4 linked regions of the Macaca fascicularis genome follow. Each later gene encodes a partner of the first gene's protein in a complex. Links are inferred from orthologs where the notes say so. Each region holds a gene or a part of one and is shown in the gene's direction. Other genes may lie near its edges.

The links.
Region 2: the proteins of NCAPH2 (region 1) and NCAPG2 are in contact, whole or in part, in a cryo-EM structure (PDB 9F5W), measured with the Homo sapiens proteins. The link is inferred for Macaca fascicularis from reciprocal best matches to the Homo sapiens genes NCAPH2 and NCAPG2. Residues at the interface, in NP_689512.2 of Homo sapiens: Pro316, Trp317, Gln318, Ser319, Leu320, Pro322, Phe323, Asp324, Ser325, Leu326, Glu327, Ser328, Lys329, Pro330, Phe331, Lys332, Lys333, Gly334, Arg335, Pro336, Tyr337, Ser338, Val339, Glu344, Gln360, Asp361, Phe362, Gln364, Trp365, Tyr366; in NP_001268861.1 of Homo sapiens: Lys248, Leu251, Gln252, His292, Ile294, His295, Leu296, Pro297, Arg299, Ser300, Val302, Lys340, Ala341, Arg342, Asn343, Ser344, Glu345, Val346, Pro388, Tyr389, Pro390, Arg393, Gly425, Glu426, Ala428, Phe429, Asp430, Thr431, Ser432, Arg437.
Region 3: the proteins of NCAPH2 (region 1) and SMC2 are in contact, whole or in part, in a cryo-EM structure (PDB 9F5W), measured with the Homo sapiens proteins. The link is inferred for Macaca fascicularis from reciprocal best matches to the Homo sapiens genes NCAPH2 and SMC2. Residues at the interface, in NP_689512.2 of Homo sapiens: Glu46, Phe53, Ile54, Glu55, Leu58, Leu59, Gly62, Ser63, Ala64, Cys65, Val66, Lys69, Tyr73; in NP_001036015.1 of Homo sapiens: Leu93, Thr125, Gln128, Asp129, Cys132, Gly135, Leu136, Asn137, Met173, Tyr174, Lys177, Lys178.
Region 4: the proteins of NCAPH2 (region 1) and SMC4 are in contact, whole or in part, in a cryo-EM structure (PDB 9F5W), measured with the Homo sapiens proteins. The link is inferred for Macaca fascicularis from reciprocal best matches to the Homo sapiens genes NCAPH2 and SMC4. Residues at the interface, in NP_689512.2 of Homo sapiens: Arg494, Ile495, Trp498, Glu499, Thr501, Val502, Leu505, Leu506, Gln509, Glu510, His512, Phe547, Cys550, Arg551, Met553, Leu554, Leu557, Gln558, Ala560, Asn561, Tyr563, Val565, Glu566, Ile567, Gln569, Leu573, Glu574, Ala576, Val577, Asp578; in NP_001002800.1 of Homo sapiens: Ile100, Leu101, Gly102, Pro103, Ile112, Gly113, Pro114, Ser117, Gln1151, Met1152, Leu1155, Phe1227, Lys1228, Ser1231, Ile1232, Phe1235, Tyr1236, Glu1239, Gln1240, Asn1253, Asn1254, Phe1256, Glu1257, Arg1261, Gly1264, Ile1265, Tyr1266, Lys1267, Thr1268, Tyr1269.

What each region holds. Positions count from the first base shown.
Region 1 is NC_088384.1:1,039,574-1,044,326, reverse strand, and holds the end of NCAPH2 (condensin-2 complex subunit H2), read left to right. Parts: intron 1-83; coding exon 84-150; intron 151-281; coding exon 282-389; intron 390-526; coding exon 527-580; intron 581-720; coding exon 721-791; intron 792-882; coding exon 883-976; intron 977-1,067; coding exon 1,068-1,139; intron 1,140-1,240; coding exon 1,241-1,290; intron 1,291-1,389; coding exon 1,390-1,491; intron 1,492-1,585; coding exon 1,586-1,735; intron 1,736-1,803; coding exon 1,804-1,944; 3' UTR 1,945-2,180; coding exon of another isoform or gene 2,181-2,981; 3' UTR 2,982-3,327; downstream 3,328-4,753. Other genes in the region: protein SCO2 homolog, mitochondrial, read right to left, coding at 2,181-2,981; TYMP (thymidine phosphorylase), read right to left, coding at 4,315-4,463, 4,546-4,686. UniProt on the Homo sapiens protein: Regulatory subunit of the condensin-2 complex, a complex that seems to provide chromosomes with an additional level of organization and rigidity and in establishing mitotic chromosome architecture.
Region 2 is NC_088377.1:199,966,191-199,971,779, reverse strand, and holds the start of NCAPG2 (condensin-2 complex subunit G2), read left to right. Parts: upstream 1-2,297; 5' UTR 2,298-2,403; intron 2,404-5,045; exon of another isoform or gene 5,046-5,145; intron 5,146-5,454; 5' UTR 5,455-5,493; coding exon 5,494-5,571; intron 5,572-5,589. UniProt on the Homo sapiens protein: Regulatory subunit of the condensin-2 complex, a complex which establishes mitotic chromosome architecture and is involved in physical rigidity of the chromatid axis.
Region 3 is NC_088389.1:54,028,614-54,034,066, reverse strand, and holds the start of SMC2 (structural maintenance of chromosomes protein 2), read left to right. Parts: upstream 1-1,886; 5' UTR 1,887-2,127; intron 2,128-2,155; exon of another isoform or gene 2,156-2,332; intron 2,333-3,130; 5' UTR 3,131-3,191; coding exon 3,192-3,359; intron 3,360-3,955; coding exon 3,956-4,105; intron 4,106-5,453. UniProt on the Homo sapiens protein: Central component of the condensin complex, a complex required for conversion of interphase chromatin into mitotic-like condense chromosomes.
Region 4 is NC_088376.1:63,362,253-63,367,167, forward strand, and holds part of SMC4 (structural maintenance of chromosomes protein 4), read left to right. Parts: intron 1-620; coding exon 621-812; intron 813-2,297; coding exon 2,298-2,474; intron 2,475-4,915. UniProt on the Homo sapiens protein: Central component of the condensin complex, a complex required for conversion of interphase chromatin into mitotic-like condense chromosomes.

The sequences.
Region 1 (4,753 bases):
GGCTGTGCACCCCCTACTTCTCCTTTGGGAGGGCGGCTGTGCACCCCCTACTCCTCCAGCGCCTTCTTGTGCTCTGTGCCCAGGAGACTCCAGAGCCCTGGCAGAGCCTGGACCCCTTTGACTCCCTGGAGTCTAAGCCCTTCAAGAAAGGTAATTGGGTGGAAGATACCTCCACTCAGGTACTCCTGGCTGGGTCTCCTGGGGCATGAGGTAGGGGGGTGGGAGAGGGCTTTGCACCCTGATTGCCCAGCAGCTCTAAGACAGTCCCTGTTTGCCTCTAGGTAGGCCTTACTCTGTGCCCCCCTGTGTGGAGGAGGCTCCGGGACAGAAGCGCAAGAGGAAGAGTGCTGCCAAGCTGCAGGACTTCCACCAGTGGTACCTGGCTGCCTGTGAGTGGGTGTGCTACGCACTCCGGACCCCTGGGAGCTGGGGGCTGGGCCAGGGCCCGTGGAGGAGGATCAACGCCCTTTCCCCACTGCCGTGGGCAGCTCTTGGCCTGGTTGGTGCTGACCATGTTCTCTCACAGATGCTGACCATGCTGACAGCCGGAGGCCTCGGCGAAAGGGTCCGTCCTTTGCAGGTGAGGCTGAAGTCCTCAGGGAAGACAGTTTTACTCCCCTTCCCCTACCTCTGCCCCCACCTGGTGTCACCAGAGCCTCGGGTGGACTGGCACAGGGCCTGGGAAGGACAAGGGAGTCTTCACAAGGTCTTTGTCTGCAGACATGGAGGTCCTGTACTGGACACACGTGAAGGAGCAGTTGGAAACTCTCCGGAAGCTGCAGAGGAGGGAGGCAAGTCCCAACTGGTCAGCTGTGATCTAGGACCCCGTGGCGGCCCTGGTGGGAGATGACAGTGCCCCTCACAGATGCTGTCTCTGGACAGGTGGCCGAGCAGTGGCTGCCGAGGGCCGAGGAAGGGCTGTGGTCTGCAGAGGAGGACCACCTGGAGGATTCTCTGGAAGACCTGGGGGCAGCAGGTGGGTGCCTGCCGGTGGGGGTGGGGTGGGGCTTGGCACCTGCTGCCAGCTGACTGGCTGCCTCTGTGCTGTCTACTCTCCCACCTCCCAGCAGATGACTTTCTAGAACCTGAGGAGTATGTGGAGCCTGAGGGAGCAGACCCCAGGGAAGCTGCTGACCTTGGTAGGTGGGCAGCGGGCTAGGAGTGCTGAGGGGCCACTGGAACTGGGGGCAGGGGAGAGTGTGGCCCCTCAGCTGCCCAGCTCACAGCTGCCCCTTCCCAGACACAGTGCCGGTGTCCCTGAGCTACGAGGAGCTGGTTCGAAGGAACGTGGTAGGCCTGGGTTAGAGAGGGACGGGGAGGGGAGGGGGATAGGTGAGAGGCGCCCAGGCCCTGCTTGGGAGGCAGTACCTTCTGCTGATCCTCTCCTAGGAGCTCTTCATCGCCACCTCCCAGAAGTTTGTCCAGGAGACAGAGCTGAGCCAGCGCATCAGGGACTGGGAGGACACAGTGCAGCCTCTGCTCCAGGAGCAGGTGAGGCGGGGTCGCTGGGAACCAGAGCTGTCTGCTGCAGGCCTGTCCCAGGCCTTGCCTCTCTCCACAGCCAACACGCCCCTCCCCTGTGCAGGAGCAGCATGTACCCTTTGACATCCACACCTATGGGGACCAGGTGGTCTCGCGGTTCCCCCAGCTCAATGAGTGGTGTCCCTTTGCGGAGCTGGTGGCCGGCCAGCCGGCCTTCGAGGTGTGCCGTTCTATGCTGGCCTCCCTGCAGCTGGTGAGTGGCCTGCGATGCGTGGGAGGGGGAGACGGTTCCCAGACCCTGCTGATGCCCCGCCCCTGCAGGCCAATGACTACACAGTGGAGATCACCCAGCAGCCTGGGCTGGAGACGGCCGTGGACACCATGTCCCTGAGACTGCTCACACACCAGCGAGCCCACAAGCGCTTCCAGACCTACACTGCCCCCTCCATGGCCCAGCCCTGAGTGGGGAGCACCAAGGCAGGGGTGGGGGATGTGTACTGAGGAGCCGTGCATCTGCTCCTGGCTGGCCCAGCCTAATAAAGCAGTGTTGCCATCTCATCTTCCCCCAAAAACCCTTTTCCGTACACCTGCCCTGCGCAGAGAAGAGGGCTGCCTGACCTCCATGGGCTGCTGGTACAGATCACACACGCACAGATTAAACGCACCCTGTTTAATGATGGGGCCCAGGCTGCAGTGGCTTAAGACAGGACACTGCGGAAAGTCGCCATGTGCCGCCGCACACTGTCTGAGATCTGCTCAGCTGACTTGCTCCGGCCGTAGTAATCGGTGAAGAGGCCGTCAGGGTTGAGCAGGTAGATGGTAATGGAGTGGTCCACGATGTAGTCCTGGTCCTCATCCTTGGGGCCGGCACTGTAGTACACACGGTAACTGTGAGTAGCCTGGGCAATCTGTTCGGTGGAGCCGGTCAGACCCAGCAGTCTTGGGTGGAAGTCCTGGACATAGCGGGCCATGGCTTCCACATCGTCCCGCTCGGGGTCCACAGTAATGAAGACGGGCTGCACTGGAGGCAAACCAGGCTCTGCTTCCAGCTTCCGCACCACCTGCACCAGCTTCTCCAGCTCGTCTGGGCAGATGTCAGGGCAGTGAGTGAAACCAAAGTACATCAGCACCCACTGGCCCCGGAAGTCAGCCTTGCGGCGACCCTGGCCTTTGTGGTCCAGCAGGTGGAAGTCGCCCTGGCCCACAGCTGCCTGGCGCAGGGCTTCTATTCGCTTTTGCTGCTGCAGCCTCTCTTTCTCAGCCCTCAGGGCCAGCCAGGCCCCACCAAGTCCAGCTCCAAACAGGGCTGTGATCAACAGCCTGGTTCGAAGCCCAGGGCCCTGAGGCTGGCCCTGCCTACCTGTCTCTGCAGGGCCCTGCCTTGACAAAAACCAGGACCTCAGATGCAGGGCCTGGCCTCCCACGGTCCCAAGGAGGACTGGGGGCTTGAGGTGAGAGAGCCTGTGCCAAGCTGTGGGGCTCCGAGTCAGCAGCAGCATGGATCTGATGCTCCTGGAAACAAGCACAGGTGTCAGGAGCCAGAAGGGAAGGCCCAGGACGGTGCCTGGGCTGCCCCTGCGACTGGAGAGACCAGTCAACCCATCCGAAGGACCCAGGCCACGTTCAGGCTTAACAGGCGTTTGTCACTGCTCACCTGAGCTCAGAACACCTCCACCAAACATCCACACCTGTCACTCCTGTCCTCCACCTGGGATCACCAGCCTGCCACACCTTGCCCTGCACCTCAGCAAGGTGACCCTCTTGCTGACTGAAAGCATTCCAAGTGCATGCCTTGCCTGGACTCCTAACCACGTTATCTATTCGCAATAAACCCATTTCTTAAAAGGAGGTGGGTAACTCTGGCTTGCAGTCCCTAGAGTAACCGATTCCTCCAGCACTTTCCTGTCACCTCGGGCCACTTAAGCCAACCGTGGCCTTCCTCCACACTGCAAGCAGCAAACCTGCACGACCTACCCCCGGAGCTCGGACTCTGCCTGCCTGCCGTATTTAACCTTTCCTTCCACCGCCACAAAACCCCACCCTCCTCACATCCAGGCTTCCCAGCAGCTCCTCCCGGCTCACAGCCGACGCTCTGCCTTTGCGTTGGTGATCTTTGCGCCTTTCCCACGGGCCCCCCCCGGAAGGTTTGCTAGGTGGAGGTCTCAGGACTCCTCGTCACTGCCCCCCCTCCTGCTGAGGGCACCCTCCGCCCGGGCGGTTCTGGGCTTGTCCCCTCCCCACCAAGGCCAACGCCCTCGTGGCCAGAAAGGTCCCAGGACCACGTAAAGAACCGCGCGAGCGCGTTAGAACTGTGCTCGGCCGCACCGAGAACACCGGTGCTAGCCGGGAGCCTCCCCCGGGCGCCCCAGCCTCGCTCCTCCCTCCAGCGCGCCCTCGGGGTGCCCCCCGCCAGCCCCGCGCAGTAGCCGGAGCTGGGAAACTACCCTGGAGTCCAGCGAGCGCCCAGGGCTACCTCCTTCCCTCCCGGCCCCGGCGTCCGCACCTCGCGGCGGGGCCGCGCGTCAGTGGACCAGTCCCCCGAGAGGCAGCGCGACCTCCAGCTCCCTGCGCTCCGCCCCGCGGGCTCCTCGCGGGCTCCTCGCGGGCTCAGGTATCGTGGGCGCCACAAGCTCGCAGCCAGGGCGCAGGCGTTCCCCGGAGCTGCCCATGCGCAGACGGGCACGGCCGCTGACGCGCTCTCGGCGCTTGCGCGGAAGGCGGAGCCCACCGCAGGTCACGTGTTCGCCGAGACGGCCCCGCCCCCGCGGCCCCGATCCCTTCGCTCCCGCCCCGGCGAGCCAAGCACCCACAAAGTTTCGCGGCAAAGGAGCTTTATTGCTGCGGCGGCAGAACGAGCTCGGCGAAGGGCGAGGGGGGCGCGAAGGGCGCGCGGTCCGAGAGTACGAGTGCCTCCTGCAGGGCGCGGCGCTGCGGGCCGCTGAGCGCGGGGCCGTCCCGGTGCACGCGGAGCCAGGGTGTCCCTGCGGAGCCAGGGGCTGTCAGAGGCCGCGCGGCCGGGGCGGGGCGGGGGCGCGGGGGCAGCGGGGCGGGGGCGGCGCTCACCACGGCGCAGCCTCTGACCCACGTCGACCAGCAGTTCGGCGCCCACCCCCAGGCGGAGCGGCTCCCCAGCGCGGCTGCGCCCAGCCCCGAGCTCGTGCAGCACCAGCGCCAGCGGCAGCGCCCGGACCAGCTCCACGGTGCCTGCGGGGAGAGGGGCTGGGACGCGCGGACTCGGGAAGGGGCGGGGGCTCAGGAAGGGAAGGGGATG
Region 2 (5,589 bases), on another chromosome or scaffold:
CCCACTGTGGCCTCCCAAAGTGTTGGGATTACAGGTGTAAGCCCCACCACGTTCTCCTTGTCCAGATGCTGGTGCCTGCAGTGGAAGCCACTTGTGGTACTTGTGGTCCAGCCACAGCCTCACATGGAGCCGGCAGCTGTGCAGGCACCTGGAGCTGCCTGCCCCACCACAGCAGCTGCAGAGCTGGGTATGCGCAGTGGTTGGACCTCATGCTCGCTTGCTCACATAGCCCTTGCTGCTCTGCACCTGGCTCACCCTTGGCAGGCGTGGGATCTGGGTCGGTAGTGCAAGCCCAGCACAACCTGCTGGGCCGAGTGGGCTTGAGCAAAACTCTAACAGAGGCGCCGCTGGCCACGGAGGTTTCTAGCTGGTGAAGTGATACCGAAAGAATCCTATGACATTAGCGGCTACATGGGCAGGTGCATTGGGGGCACAGTCAACGCTCCTGCTGCCCTGCTCCCACGTGCCTCTGAGCACTGCACTACACAGACATTTAGGCCTCATAATAACTCCCTAGAGGAGGCTGAGCTCTGCACTACACAGACATTTAGGCCTCATAATAACTCCCTAGAGGAGGCTCAGTACTTAAGTAGGTCCCATCTAATAGATGAGGAAACTAAGGCTTAGTCGTCCATGGCCTGTCGAAGGTCACCAGCTAGTGAGCACAGAACCAGGTTAGCCCAGGTGGTACAGCTTCAGAGCTCACATGTGTAACTTATTACGTTATTCCTATTCAGGAAGCAGAACCACCAGGAACAAATGGCTGATTGGAGGAGGGACCAGCATAAGGAAAGGGGCAGGATTCAGGGTTGGGAGAGGAAATTGATTTCCGTTTTGGATGCATGTCAGCACCGGGAATAGGCAGTGAGCTGTTGAAAATTCTGGAGTTCAGAAATAACCGTGTCTTGCAATTCCAGATGCAGAGGTCACTGCTCAAAGGTGGCAGTTTGCACCTTGGATATGAAGGAAATTGCTAAGAAGAAAGCAGTGAGAAGAAGGTGAGGGCACCAAAATTCAAGAAACTGCAGGGAAGGAGATGTCTGTGTATGGAGGGAAGAGGTCAGAGGTGGCTGGAGCTCCAGGATGAAATAGGCGATGTTAGATATCGGCCACCTGTTGACAAGGGTCCGAAACTCGGCATGCTCTGAGTGGGTCTTCTCCCTCCCCTCTGCAGCCTGCCTTGCTTCACTGTTGCAAGCTTCCCAGTAAACCACTCTTCTCCCTGCTATAATTTTATATTGCTTGTTGAAACGATATTCCAACAAGTAATATAAATATTTTTGATACACTAGCCTAAATAAAACATATTTAAAAATCAATGTCACCTATTTATTTTTTTCTAATGTGGTCACTAGAAATTTACAATTGCACTGTGGCTCCCATGATGTTCCTACTGGGTGGTGCTGTGCTCCCACAGTGCAACGACTTCAATCTCGCCGAGACCTCTGGTTTGAGTTCAGCCAGGAAAACAGATACCACTCTAGACATCTCAAGCATGAAAGAACATAGCACCAGGGAAGGCCAAAACCTCACGAAGGGATGCAGAGCTCGGTGGTAAAGAGCACCATTTTCTAAGAATTTGCTTTCAACAAAAATTGGGAACGCCCAATGAAGTTATTCGCTGACACAAATTAAAAGAGATTGATAGATCAGTATGTGCCTTTGGCATTTAAGTCCAAAGAATTAAACGACATTGCTACTCCTCCTTCACACGGGTGCCTTCGAGGGTCCCCGCTAAGGCCTCTCCCTCTCCACCCTATGGGCAGCCTACCTGCCGGGGGTGGGGGGGTAGGAGTTCTGCGGGGGAAGCACCTGCCCAGGGCGCACCTACTGGGTGCAGGCCGGACAGGTGACCCCTTGGCAGGGAGGGCGGTCACGGTAGCCGGCCAGGCCGGGGTGGGGTCCTCCCGGGGATCCAGACACGGCCCTGTGGCCTCTCCCCGCCCCAAACCTTTCCTTCCTCTCCCCGTCTCTCCCTTCCTCTCCTTCCTCCTTCCCCCAACACCGCCCGCTCCCAGCGCCCCGCCCTCTCCTGGACCGCGCACTCCCTCCGCGGAGGCCCCAGGACGCGCACAAGCTCGCAGTGGACGTCGGCGCGCGCACCGTGCATGGGTTCCCCAGCTGTGGCGCCGCGCGTGCGCGTTCCGTGGTGCCCGGTAGGGCACTGGGCTAAGCGCCCAAGAGGCGGGGCATAGACAGGAGGAAGACCGGCGGGCATGTGGGCGGGGCATGATCTGGAGGCGGGGCGGAGCGGGCGTGTGGGTAGGGCCCGAGGATCGCGGCGCCCCAGCTCTCGCGAGAGCGGCGCTGGGTGACGACCGGGAGGGCGGGGCCCGTCTGGGGCGCCGGCGGGTGCGTTTGAATCTGGTCCGAGCGCGGGAAACGGCGGGTCCCCGAGCCCAGGTGAGAGCTGCGGTGCGGAGCCGGGATTGGGTTCAGAGCAGAGGCTGGGAGGTAGCAGGGATCGGGCGGAAGCCCCTCCTCGGCTGGTCGGGGTCCCGGCCTCCACTTCCCTAAGTGGGCTGCCGACCAGCGCGCGGGCAGTGCTGCGTCTGACGGGACCGGACGGAAGAGGCGACCCCGGGCCATCCCCCCTTCCCAGCTCAGCGACGCCCGTCCTTCCTGTCCGTGTCGGAGGAAAATCCCAGCCCCGGGCGCGGGCACTGCCCTCAGAGAGAGTCCCCTCAGCCTCAGGCGCGGGCACGCCCTCAGAGAACGAACCCCCAGCCCTGAGCATGGGCACTGCCCTCAGAGAGTGTCCCCTCCGTCCTGGGCATGGGCAGTGCCCTCAGAGAGTGTCCCCTCCGTCCTGGGCATGGGCACTGCCCTCAGAGAGGGTCCCCTCAGCCCCGGGTGCGGGCACTGTCCTCAGAGAGCGACCCCCCAGCCCTGAGCATGGGTACTGCCCTCAGAGAGTGTCCCCTCCGTCCTGGGCATGGACACTACCCTCAGAGAGAGTCCCCCTCAGTCCTGGGTGTCGGTACTGCCCTCAGAGAGAGTCCCCTCAGCCCCGGGCGCGGGCACGCTCTCAGAGAGTGACCCGCCAGCCCTGAGCATGGGCACTGCCCTCAGAGAGCGACCCCCCAGCCCTGAGCATTGGCACTGCCCTCAAGAGAGTGTCCCCTCAGTCCTGGGCCTAGGCACTGCCCTCAGAGAGTGAGCCTCTCCGTCCTGGGCGTGGACACTGCCCTCAGAGTGTCCCTTCATTCCTGGGCCTGGGCGCTGCCCTCAGAGAGTAAATCCCCTCAGTCCTGGGCCTGGGCACTGCCCTCAGAGAGCCACCCCCTCCGTCCTGGGCATGGACACTGCCCTCAGTGTCCCCTCAGTCCTGGGCCTGGGCACTGCCCTCAGAGAGTAAATCCCCTCAGTCCTGGGCCTGGGCACTGCCCTCAGAGAGCCACCCCCTCAGTCCTGGGCATGGGCAGTGCCCTCAGCGACCCCCTCAGTCCTGGGCATGGGCACTGCCCTCAGACAGTGTCCCCTTAGAGAGAGTCTCCCTGAGCCCTGGATGTAGGCACTTCCCTCAGAGAGTATCTCCCCAGCCATGGACATGGGCATTGTCCTCAGAGACATCAGTCTCCTGAACTCTTGTTGCTGGTTTGGTGCCTCTTGTTGTGTCAATGAGGAAGGAGTTTGGGGACAGAGTGGAAAGTCACGGGTAGTGACAAGGTTACAGGGATTTCTTCTTTTTAATGCTCATCTTGATTCAGTACCGGACCTTCTGTGCGAAGAGTAGCCTGCTCTTTGGACTGATAACTGGGTGGTGAGATGACTCCTTACCTTGAAAGTAGCATTCTGGCTGCAGGGCTGAGATCTTATGCACATATACTACAAGAAACATGGAATATTGCCACTTTGGGAGATAGATTGAAAAATTAACCATTAAAAAATTACAGTCACTAATATAAGAGGGAAAATGGGAAATACAGGAATAAGTTTGGTAGTCTGGAGGAAGTATATTACTGTAGGTTGGACTACAATGCCAAAGAGGTACACCTGGAAATAGAGCAAACAAGAAAAGTGACCAGAACTATGAAAAAGTGGAGAGTTCACAGACTTGCCAGGTGAAGATGTATGATTCCATGTGTTTGCTGCACCTTATTGGATTATTTTTCTAAAATCATGAATTTGTCCTAGCCACTATTCGTTATGCTTGTTGCTGGCCACTCTCCCTTCCCTCCCCCATTTTCTTTGTCAGTAAAATGTATGCGAGTCATGCTTCATTTAAAGAGGGAGAAACGTTGTGGTTAGGCAAGTTCATCATTGAATGAACATCACAGAGTGAACTTGCCTACACCTAGAGGGTGTAGCCTACTGCTGCTAGAATGTTACTGTACTGTAGGCAACTGTAACAATGGTAAGTATTTGCATCGCTAAACATATCTAAGTATAGAAAAGGCACAGTAAAAATATGGCATTATAATCTTATGGGACCACAGTCATATATGTGGTCTGTTGTTGACTGAAATGTTATGTGGTCCATGACTGTGGTTCATAGTTCAGCCATTTGAGTTGAGGAATGAGATGACCAGACTTCACTGTTAACTTATTTGGGGAGTCATTAAACTGAGGTTATTTTCTGCTTTGTTCGATTTAGACATTAAAATCTAGTATTATATGTTTAAGATAACTCTCTATCCCCATAATTATTGGCAGTAATTTTCCATATTGCTCTATTTATAATGGTGCAGGTGGTTTTCATTTATTTTTAAAGTCAGGGGACTCCTACTGCAAATATGTTCCATCATTTGCTATTACCTCATCTTTAGGTTGATGTCTTTTTAGTAGGGCACCAATAGCACCAGGTGTTGTGAATGTGAAATAGAATTTCCTGGAAAAACACAGACAGGATAGAAGGTGTACAAAGTCCCCTGAGCTCTCATTATCCCGAAGGGGTGGGAGGAGAGTGCTGTGGTTACGCATTTCTAAAGGATAGTCTAACAAGATCCCAGGTGACCCCCGCCCCCCTCCCCGGGGCCACTGTTCTCCATCTCACTTTGAATAACAAGATGACACTAACAGTGGGATTTTTTTTTTTGATGGAGGAATGGCCTTTAGAAAGGGAGCATCTTCAGAATCTGCAGCTGGGATCAGATTGTTCTTTTGTTGAACCAACTCGATCTGCCGAGCCAGCATCTTGCTAAGGTACTAAAAAGGGAGAGATGGTGGTGAGCTTCCTAAGGCTATTTGGATTTCTCCCTCCTTAGTTGGTAGTTTTATTAACAGTTGTTGATAAAATATCATTAATATCATGTTATTAACATCCCCAGTAAAGGAAATAAGTAAATTGTTTTTCAGATATTATAACTTGTTTTATGTTAGAATATTTTTATAAACTGTCTGCCATACGTGGTTCAGGAATTTTCTTGCAGTTCTTGGATGTTAATATCAAATTAAATCTTATAGGAAAATATATATTTGCAAGTGTTTCAGTATGATTGTGTTTTCCACTAGGGTTGCAAAATAAATGCCATTTGAACAGTTCCATCTGTCATGGAAAAACGTGAGACATTTGTACAAGCCGTATCTAAGGAGCTGGTTGGAGAGTTTTTGCAATTTGTTCAACTGGATGTAAGTTTCAAGTTTTAG
Region 3 (5,453 bases), on another chromosome or scaffold:
CAGCAATTCCTTAGTGGTTCTGGCATGCAATAAGACTAAAACTGATAGAGATCTCCACCTTTATAAGCATTTTTCATTTTGATCAATGGTCTTAATGGGAGTAGTTAGATCTGCACATTCTTCTAACCACCCAGAAGTCCTTAACCAACAACAGTGCATTTGTATGTTTTCATCCATTTGACGTAAGTGCATCAGCTAGTTGTTAAAGTGCAAAGACTAACAGTCTGTCTTCACACATATTTCCATACCAAGAATCACTTTATTTCACAACTTGACTACGTCCACATTAGGATTTGTTGGCAAATTAAAAATTATTTACTCACAAAATGATAAAAGGAAGGAGACACAGGTGAAAGTAAATGTGTAAGAGTTAACAGAATCAATACAATTGAATAGCTGTGGAGCCTAGGGGATGCAGGATTCAAGGCAGACAAAGATATCTGCTGAAGTAAATTAATGTTAGGTCACTACCCATGGTTGACATCACAGAAGTGGGTAAGCATATCAGAGTAAATAAATGAATCCTTTCTTAAACAAAAAACCCATAAAACTTATTTTACTCCCTTAACGAGAAATATTTTCAAAATTTAGGCCCATTCCTGGTAGATTAAGACCAGTTCAGACGACTGCATTGCCATTCCAGGGCCAAGAAAGCAACTTTAAAAACACGCCCTATGCTATGGTCTAAATATGTCCCTCAAACTTCACATTTTGAAATCCTAACCCCCAAACTGATGGTTTTGGCAAGTGGCCTCTTGGGAAGTGAGGAATGGGAAGAAAGGAAAGGCCCTTATAAGATAGGCCCAAGGGAGGGCCTCTGCCTCTCCACCATGTGAGGACAGGGTCAGAAGGTGCTATCCACTGAACAGAAAGCACTCCTTCCTAGACACACCTTGTTCTGTGACATTCCAGCCTTCAGAAATGTGAAGAATAAACCTCTGTGGTTCATAAGCTACCCAGTCTATGGTATTTTGTTATGGAAGCCCAAAAGGATCAAGCCATCCCAAAATGGCATTGTCCACACCATGTTTTTGTACCTCACCTAGAAAAACACCATACCCATTCGGAGTTAAATCCTTCCTAACTCTTTAGTATCAACGTGCTTGGAAACGTAAGTAATGCTGACACCTTTTTTCTTTCTAAAGAACAATACATACCAATTAACAGGATCGGTGAATAGTACTAGATTCTATGCATGGAGCCTAGTATGTATTTAAAAGCATGCAATCTGGAACTAGACTGGAAACAAATCCCAGCTTACTAGACAAACTGCTTAACCTTTTACTTGGACTCATTCAACTCATTTGTAAAACGAGGGCAATTTCTGATTTCACAGGGTTGCTACGAGGATTTTAAAAAGCCCCTTGGAACATAGCCTAACACTCAGAACTCAATAAATATGAACTGTCTTAAAAGGTTTCCAGAAAAAATCCCTGACAGGTTAGGTAGGCTTATCATTACAACGCTTTCCAGTGTAAGGGAGGTGAACAGCTATTTAGCACCACACAACTCCTCTGGGCTCAGAACAGCTCTCAGTAGACTACGATCCCTTCCCGACGTGAAAATTTCAGATAAAAACGCTCGGCGAAGTCCGAAGGCAGCACGGGACCGAGCCAGGACGCGGGCCAGAGTCCTCCGAAGGACTGTGCCTCTCCGACCCCACCGAAATACAGCTTTTACTTTGCAGCAATCTGAGCCAACCCAAGAAGATTCAGAGGCTTCCAAAACAGAACCGACAAGAACACTCAAAGAATGCCTCTACACCTCCTGATTCTGTCGCTTTGCGTGAAGAGTAGTAAGCCGCGGTGAGCACCGCCCAGAACTCGAGAAGGCGGAGTCTGCTGGGCGCCGAACGCTGACTAGAGGACCCGAGGAGGGGCGGGGCTGACGAAGCGCGAGGACCTGGGGACGAGGTGTGGGGCTGACCATAGCGTGCCGGACGCCGGTGTGAACATATACTACCTGCTCTTGTAGTGCCCAGGCCCGCGCCTGGGAGTCCCCGGAGCTGCCATTATCGAGACTCTGCGTCCTATTGCCCTGAAGCGTTAATCCTTCGCGTGTAGGGGAAAAATGGAATCCTAAAGACAGGCAGCTCCTAGGCACCAGCACAGGAAATAAGCAATGGAGGTGGGGTCCTTTGCTCGCGCCGAAATTCAAAGGAATAAATAGTTCCGGCGCGGGTGTTGAGAGCGGTGCGGCAGGTGTTGTATCCGCTATGGTGAAGTTCTCTTCGTAGCAGCCGCGGCTAGAGAGTTGGCCTGCTCCCCGCCTTTGTGACCCGGAGGAGCTTTTGGGGTGCGTCAAGCCCTGGCCTGAGGCAGCGGTGAGGCGTGTGCGTGAGCACGGCCGGTTGAGCCCGGCCAGACATCCTGGCGGGAGGCGGGACGCGGGAGCTATGGGGAGGAGGACCTTAGGTGATCCTTAGAAATAAAGGCTAGTTCCTATTCGGCCTTGGAGTAGGGCGAAGAGGTGTAGACAGGCCTCAAGAAGCGAAGTAACAGCCTGAGTAAAAGCAAGACGGTGGAGAATATGAGATACATCTCATCCCTAGTAAATACTTAGATGACTTCCCCTCCTCCCGGAGTCAAGCACAATTCGGGGATGCAATGATGAACGTAGGTGAAGATACTACAGGAACTTACAGACAAGTAATGACCGTCTAATACCAGTTTTAAGTACCATGAAGGAAAAAGCCGAGTGAAGAAGTGTGGAGAGGTGACACAGGGAGGTCAGGGAGGACTCCAGTAGGGTGACACATTTGAGCAAAGACGTGAGTGCAGTAGAGAGTAAGCTATGTCAGTATCAGAAAAAAGCACATTGTGGGCAAAGATAATGGGGTATGAAATAATCCGTAGTCTTTATTAGCTAGAGTATGATGAAAGTAGAAGGCAAGCCTGGAAAAACAGGTGTAAGAAATAGTTAAGACTTCCCAGTTGAATGGTTTAATTTCCAGATAGTGGCTAACTCTGTTATATTTTTGAGTAGATGAACGATGTCTTTACATCAGACAAGATAGTTTGTCAAGTGGCTGTTTTATTTCTATTACCCTATCATTACCGTTTTTGCCTAGTGTTCATTATGATTCCAGGTTTACATTCCACTTAGGTGGTGGTATTTCTGTTTCGTACAGAACTGGTTTGTGGCCTGTTTGATTCCTGTCAGAGGTTTGCTGACCCAAGACAGTATCGAAAATGCATATTAAGTCAATTATTCTAGAGGGATTCAAGTCCTATGCTCAGAGAACCGAAGTCAATGGTTTTGACCCCCTCTTCAATGCTATCACTGGCTTAAATGGTAGTGGAAAATCAAACATATTGGACTCCATCTGCTTTTTGCTGGGCATCTCCAACCTGTCTCAGGTAAAGTGTAAACTTTCTGATTTATTTGAATATAAGTGGGCAGGAGAATCCTCCCTGAACTTTGGAGACTTAACAATATTCTCTTCATTTGTGTTTTTATACTTTTTGTAAATTACACCTCACTGTCACCTTTTAAGGAAACTATTATTACTCCTTTAGATGAGAAAATAGAAACATAGAGATGTTTATGTTGGAGATGTTTATAAGTAACAATGCCTCAAAACTCAGGCTTTCTGACTGTAAAGTAGTCTCATTCCAGAGTATTTTCAACCCTGTGTAATGATGCCTTTTCAAATCCTGCTAATAGATTGAATGACTAGTGAAAATCATTGGGACTGTCTTTCCTTATATCTTGCCAAGTAACTTTTTGTTAAAAAATGAATAGGAAACAATTCAATTCAGAGTTGAAAAGGTTCTATAGAGAAGAGTGTCCATTTCAGGTTGTTACCTATTTTCCTTGCCAGAGTATGCAGCTGCCTATCCTTGTCTGCTTAGTGGACACTATGTTGGTGGGTTTTCCAACAGCAAGGAATTCATTTTTAGTGCTGCTTTGTAGGGAGTTTTGTAATTGATACACTTTTCTTCTTTTATTTTAGGTTCGAGCTTCTAATTTACAAGATTTAGTTTACAAAAATGGGCAGGCTGGTATTACCAAAGCCTCTGTGTCAATCACATTTGATAATTCTGACAAAAAGCAAAGTCCTTTAGGATTTGAGGTTCATGATGAAATCACAGTAACAAGGCAGGTGAGTGGCTATTAAACATTTCGATATCTTAAGACCTTTTATGTCTGATGTGGTTTTTGGCCCTATGCCTTTGCAAAACGTGCTAGAGAAAGTTGATGAGCAAAATTTGTGCCTTAAATTCTGACTAGATTCCTTAATATCTTCCTTACATTAAAATTTTGATCATGTACACTCTATCACTAAGAGAACTGAAAGAGAACTGAAAAGTTATTCATCCGGTATAAGCACTCAGCTATGCTGAAATCTTAAACCATACTTGAATCTTCTCTGGTTGTTCTTGAACACCTGTGTACTTGAGATCTTGCAGTCTTCTGAGATAACCCATTCTGTTTTTGGACAGGTCTTACTAGAAAGTTACCCCTATAAATTTTGTCAGAGTCTGCTGTCTTCAAATTTTATTCATTAATCCTAGTCCTCTTGAGAGCACTAAGAGCAAATCTGACTTATTCCCTACTTCAGTGTTCAAGTGATCTGCAAGCATATGTGTTTTAGTTCTAAGTGAAATCTTACCAGGTCTTTCATTGATGTTTGTTCCTAGTTCCTTCACTTGCCTGATTATACCAGGTATGCTCCAGTTTCCCTCCCTGCCCCTGCATTCATCTATCTATCTTTTAATGACACCTTAGATTGAGTGTATTAAAATCGGTCTAGTTAGAGTTATTGTTTCATTTTAGACATTCTACTTCTATTTTTCTCAGTAGAGCTTTTTTTTTATGTGTGTTATTAATATAGTCAGGCAGTGTTTTCAGCTTGTCAATGTTTTTTGTTTTGTTTTGTTTTTTGGTTTTTGGTTTTTTTTGAAGACGGAGTCTTGCTCTGTTACCCAGGCTGGAGTGTAGTGGGTAACATCTCACTCACTGCAATATTCGTCTCCCAGGTTCAAGAGAGTCTTCTGCCTCAGCCTCCTGAGTAGCTGATACTACAGGCACCTACCACCACACCTGGCTAATTTTTTTTTGTATTTTTAGTAGAGACGGGATTTCACTGTGTTGGCTAGGGTGGTCTCAGTCTCCTGACCTTGTAATCTGCCTGCCTCGGCCTCGTGAGCCACCGTGCCCAGCCCAAGGTTTTGTTTTTAAAAATGTAGTCAACTCCCATTTACTGTCCATCTTATTATTTATCACTTACAGATTTTCTCCTCTATTTTAATGGAAGCCTCTGATTTAAAAAAAAAAAAAAGAAATATAGGCTAGGTTAGGACAGAATCCTGTTCTGTGTCATTAGGCATCCATCAAATATTTATCCTTTAGGAACTGTCACTAAGTCTCTTACTAATAATCTACCTAATTGTTCCTGTCCTCATTCAGGCTATAAACTTGTATCTTCACCAAAATTATAAAGTTTTTGT
Region 4 (4,915 bases), on another chromosome or scaffold:
TGTATGGAAATAACTATTTTATAACTTTTAAATACCTATTGTAAGGTAATAACGTATTTACAAGATGTTTCAGCTTTGTAACTATCCTAAAATTCACTCACTCCCTGTTTATCGTGATAGCCATTCTTTCTCTTTCTCTCTTTCTTTCTCTCTCTCTCTCTCTCTCTCTCTCTCTCTCTCTCGCACACGCACACACGTTTCATATGATTTTAACACTTAAATTATCTTTTGTTTATCTGGTTATCTTTGGTACCTCTAGCTGTAAAGTTTTCTATTGAATGGAGTCGGTGTTTTTGTTTGAAATAGTATTTTCCCTTAGATAATTTTTTTTCTTAAAGCTTTCGTTGGAACCCTTAGATAATTTAACTATAAAATGAGTTTTCTAAAACGTCTGCGTTAGAATTAGAGCATTCTTATTAAATGTTGAAACTTTTAAGAGAGGAGAACTTGATGTAAGAAAACTCAAGTTGTATGTCCGTGATTAGCAATAAAAACTTTTAAATACTTGCAGTTTTTAACTGCAAGTAAAGTAAAAAAACCGAACGGTTTAAGTTAAAATCAGTAGTATTAGCTTGACCTTATGAACTTTTACTTGTTTTGTTTTTGTTTTTTTAATGCAGCGCTTTTCCTGTATTATCGGGCCAAATGGCAGTGGCAAATCCAATGTTATTGATTCTATGCTTTTTGTGTTTGGCTATCGAGCACAAAAAATAAGATCTAAAAAACTCTCAGTATTAATACATAATTCTGATGAACACAAGGACATTCAGAGTTGTACCGTAGAAGTTCATTTTCAAAAGATAATTGATAAGGTAAGGGATTTTTACTGTTTAGTAATTGACAAGTTCAAGCAAGGCAAATGGACTTAAATGCATTGCATATTTTATTATTTTTGACTTTAAGAAATTTGTATGTAATTATAGCAGAAAGTATTGGTTTCATTACCTCTGACCATGTTTTATTTTGGGGGAGTGGTGGTGGTGCCTTTTAAAATATTAAATTTTTAGCTAAAGAAATGAATTACAAATAGTTCATAGTAATCCTTTTTGGAATAAAAACATTGAGCAGTTTTAGGATCCCGAGTACTAAATAGGCATTATTTTACTATAAATATTGGGTTCATTTTTAAAGTTATATTTTGGTTGCTTTAGAATAAATTAGCTAAACTTGAAAATATGGCAATTGGCTGGTTTTACCATCTTTATTATTTCAATGCATTTTAACTTTAATGTTAGTGGCCCCTGAGTATCTATGATATGAAGGAGCTTTGCTTCAGTTTGACTACTGCTGTGATTAAGTCCTTTTGAAATGGGGGAAGGGCAAGCTAATGTTTGTTTTCTAGAAATAGAGACAATTACAGGTAAAATGTCTAGATTATTTACCTGTTGATACTTTTGCTTCTGTTTAATAATTAATGTAGGAAATTAATTGTTCAAAAATGACTCGATGGAACCTAAAAATATAGAAAACTAATTACGTAATGAAATTGGGAGGTGATTTGGCTTTTGAATTTTGTTTTCCTTTTTTTTAAAAAAGTACAAAGTGCTTTAATTACACAGAATCATCTATTTTAATTTGGTTTCTTTTGTGCTTTCTATTGTACAAGTTGGGTTGGAAAATAGATTGCCAGTAAATCAGATTTTATTCCATTGCCTATTAATTACATTTGATTTATCTAAATTTTAGAAGCCATTGCTTCAGTATGACAGAACTTTTAAGGGTAAGGGAAAGTGAGTGTTAAAGTAGATTTGCAATTGATTTTTTTTTTTTTACATCTTGTTTGTTTAAAAGAAAACCTAGGGAATTTAGTTATTTTGTGATGCTTTTTACTTTAAATTAATGGCACACTCTTTACCCTCCCACACAAAAAAACTAAACTGTATCACCCCGTTACTACCTTCCTTCCTTTTTCTTTGAATCATCATTTTTAAAAGCTGCAGCTTTTTAAATCTGTCAACATGTTAATAATTTGTGTGAGTTTTGAATATGGTAGGAATCTTGTCTACCTCTTCTGAATCATAAATGTTTTTAGGCTTGTTTGGAGGTGAGTTTTTTCGTTGGCTGGTTGGTTTGGCTTCTTGGTTTTTATGATCTTTGAGAAAGACCAAGCAGCATGGAAAACTATCAATTCTTTGCTAAGCCGAGTTATTATTGAGAACTACTGGCAGTTTGTGTGCGTGTTCAATTGAAGTTTTTAATCCATAGAATTAGTTTCAGTATGAAATGAGTGAATTTTGAAGTAGGCCTATGACTTAATACCAACAATTGTTTTCTGGTTTTGTTTTTCCTCAAAACAGGAAGGGGATGATTATGAAGTCATTCCGAACAGTAATTTCTATGTATCCAGAACGGCCTACAGAGATAATACTTCTGTCTATCACATAAGTGGAAAGAAAAAGACATTTAAGGATGTTGGAAATCTTCTTCGAAGCCATGGAATTGACTTGGACCATAATAGATTTTTAATTTTACAGGTAAGTTTATTAAAGACTTCCAAGATTATCTTATTCTTGTTACTTTTTTTTCTATAAAGTTAGGTTGGATGAATCCTGTATTTTTGAGGCCTTAAAGTACTGTAGCAGCACATCATGGTTTACATACTACAGTCAAGATGCGAATCATTATTTGCTGCTCTAGAAATTTAAGGAAATTCATTCAAAACTATGTTTTCATCATCAGATGTTCATTTTATGTTTGGATGAACTGACATACTTGTTCCACTCTAGCAGCACGTAAATATTGGCGTAGTGAAATATGTATTAAACACCAATATTACTGTGCTGCTTCAGTGTGACAGGGATATAGCAACTATTTTATCCATTGTTTGTATTTCCCTTTAAGGTAACATTTTAAATGAAATGTATTATTTTTTAATAATCTATCCTTTTCCTTTGTTCTTGTTCTTATTCTTTTCTGATATATAACCAAAAACTGAAAAAATCGGTACAATTGGTGTTCGATTTACCTGAGCACCTAGTTAATGTAATCTTTGTAACACTTCGGATGGTTAACTGAACCTTTACTCATTGGTTTTTGTTTCGTTGAAAATGACTGACTTGGTGGAACCACGACTAGTGAAAGAAAGGAACTTTGATATTACATTCTTAAGTATCACAGCTGTTACAGAGCAAGTCCTTTTAAAGAGATGTAAAAATTAAGTACCTGTGCCAAGCTGATTTTTATTAGAAACCCTGTTTTCTTTAAGTAAAAGTATATTCTACCAGCAGGGCTTGGTAAGAAAAATCCCCTATCTTTTTTTCCCTGTCCTCAAAATTCAGAATTTTTTGAAAAAAAAAAAAAAAGGGTAAAACCATGGCTTTGTCAAGTTCCTGTTTGATTCTAGGGTATCTTCTTTTCCTGTGTTCCATCAGGAATCACCGAAGCATAATAATAAAAGCAAAACTATTTTGTGATGCAGAAATGACTGAAATAAGTAGGGAATTTTGATTTGATGCTAAAAGTTTTGTTAGGGTGACTGGATGTTCCTAGTAACAAACTTATAAAATATTAGCCTCTGTTTCCATTTTAGTCTTTATTCTTCAATTGTTTTTAAAAATTATTACTTTTAGACATTTGTAGTATACAAGGTAAATCAGTATCATTCTAGGATAACCTTTTTTAGTATCTTTTATTACCAGGCACAGTATATTTGCAATACTTCAACCTAAACTTGTTTAAAAATTAATGTTGAGGAAATTAATTGCAAATGTATTTCTAAACAAGATTTGAATTTATAGAATGTGGCATTAAAGGATTTTGTGTGTTTTTAAAATCAAATTGAACTGTTTTATTGACTTTCATATTCTGGGACTTGGTTTGGTTAATTATGGATAATAAGCTATGTCCCTATATAATGCTAAATTTGATGATGATACCAATTTGCAGGAAATTATACTTAACGTGTATCTTTTGCTTAATCATCTTTTACCGTCGTCCTGGGATAATCAGAGTTTTACATTTATGCAAAGATTCATCAAAATACACTGCATTTTAACCCTTCTGAGGATATTTTTTTTTCCCTGTACAGCATCTCTGTACATAATTCAGTAATAAAGGAAGCTAATGTAATATTGTCCCAAGGGAGTAAATAATTTATAAATTGTCAAGTTTATATTACATTTGTGCTTCTGAAGTATATGGGATGCTAAAGCCAATTTGTCCACATGATAATCTGAACCTTTTTATTGTGATCTTTACAGTTTTAAAAACATTTCTTCCCAGATAATACCAAGGTAAATGTTCCAAGTTAATAGATTCAGTTTGACTCAATTAAATTTACAGATAAGAACCTTAGAAACTCACCTGTTAGGAATAAGAAACAGGGACTGGACTACAGTAGAACTAATAGTGAGTGCCCAGTTAAAACTGAGGGAAAATGGCAATGGTTTCTATGGATTTTTTTTTTTTTTTGAGTCGCTTATGAAAATCTCATACTCCTAACTGGCAATATAAAGCATTTGATGGTAAGTAAAAATGTGATTTGTATTACCTTCTCTTTTACTGAATAACATCTATCTTAAAAACTGATTTGGGAGGCTGAGAAATTGGAAACAGCATCGTAGTATCAACATCCAAGACCTAAATCATTACTTGGAATAAAACATGTAGACTCTTTGGCCAGTAATAGTGATTAACAGCAAAAGTAATCTAAATTTAGTAAAAGTAAACGTTTATTTTTAAGATTTAAAAGAACCAAATTTTCTAGAATTTCCTAAGAGTAAAATTTCTCAGTGTTAATATATTGGCTTAGCAAATTTTTCAAGTAGGCATTTTTATTACTTGAATCCATTAAAAATTTCATTAATTGGCCATTCAAATGAATTCCTTTTAAGGCACTATGCTAAGATGCTATAAGTAATATAAAGATGGCTAAACCTTGTTTCTTGTCCTTAAAGACACATACATGCCCTCACAA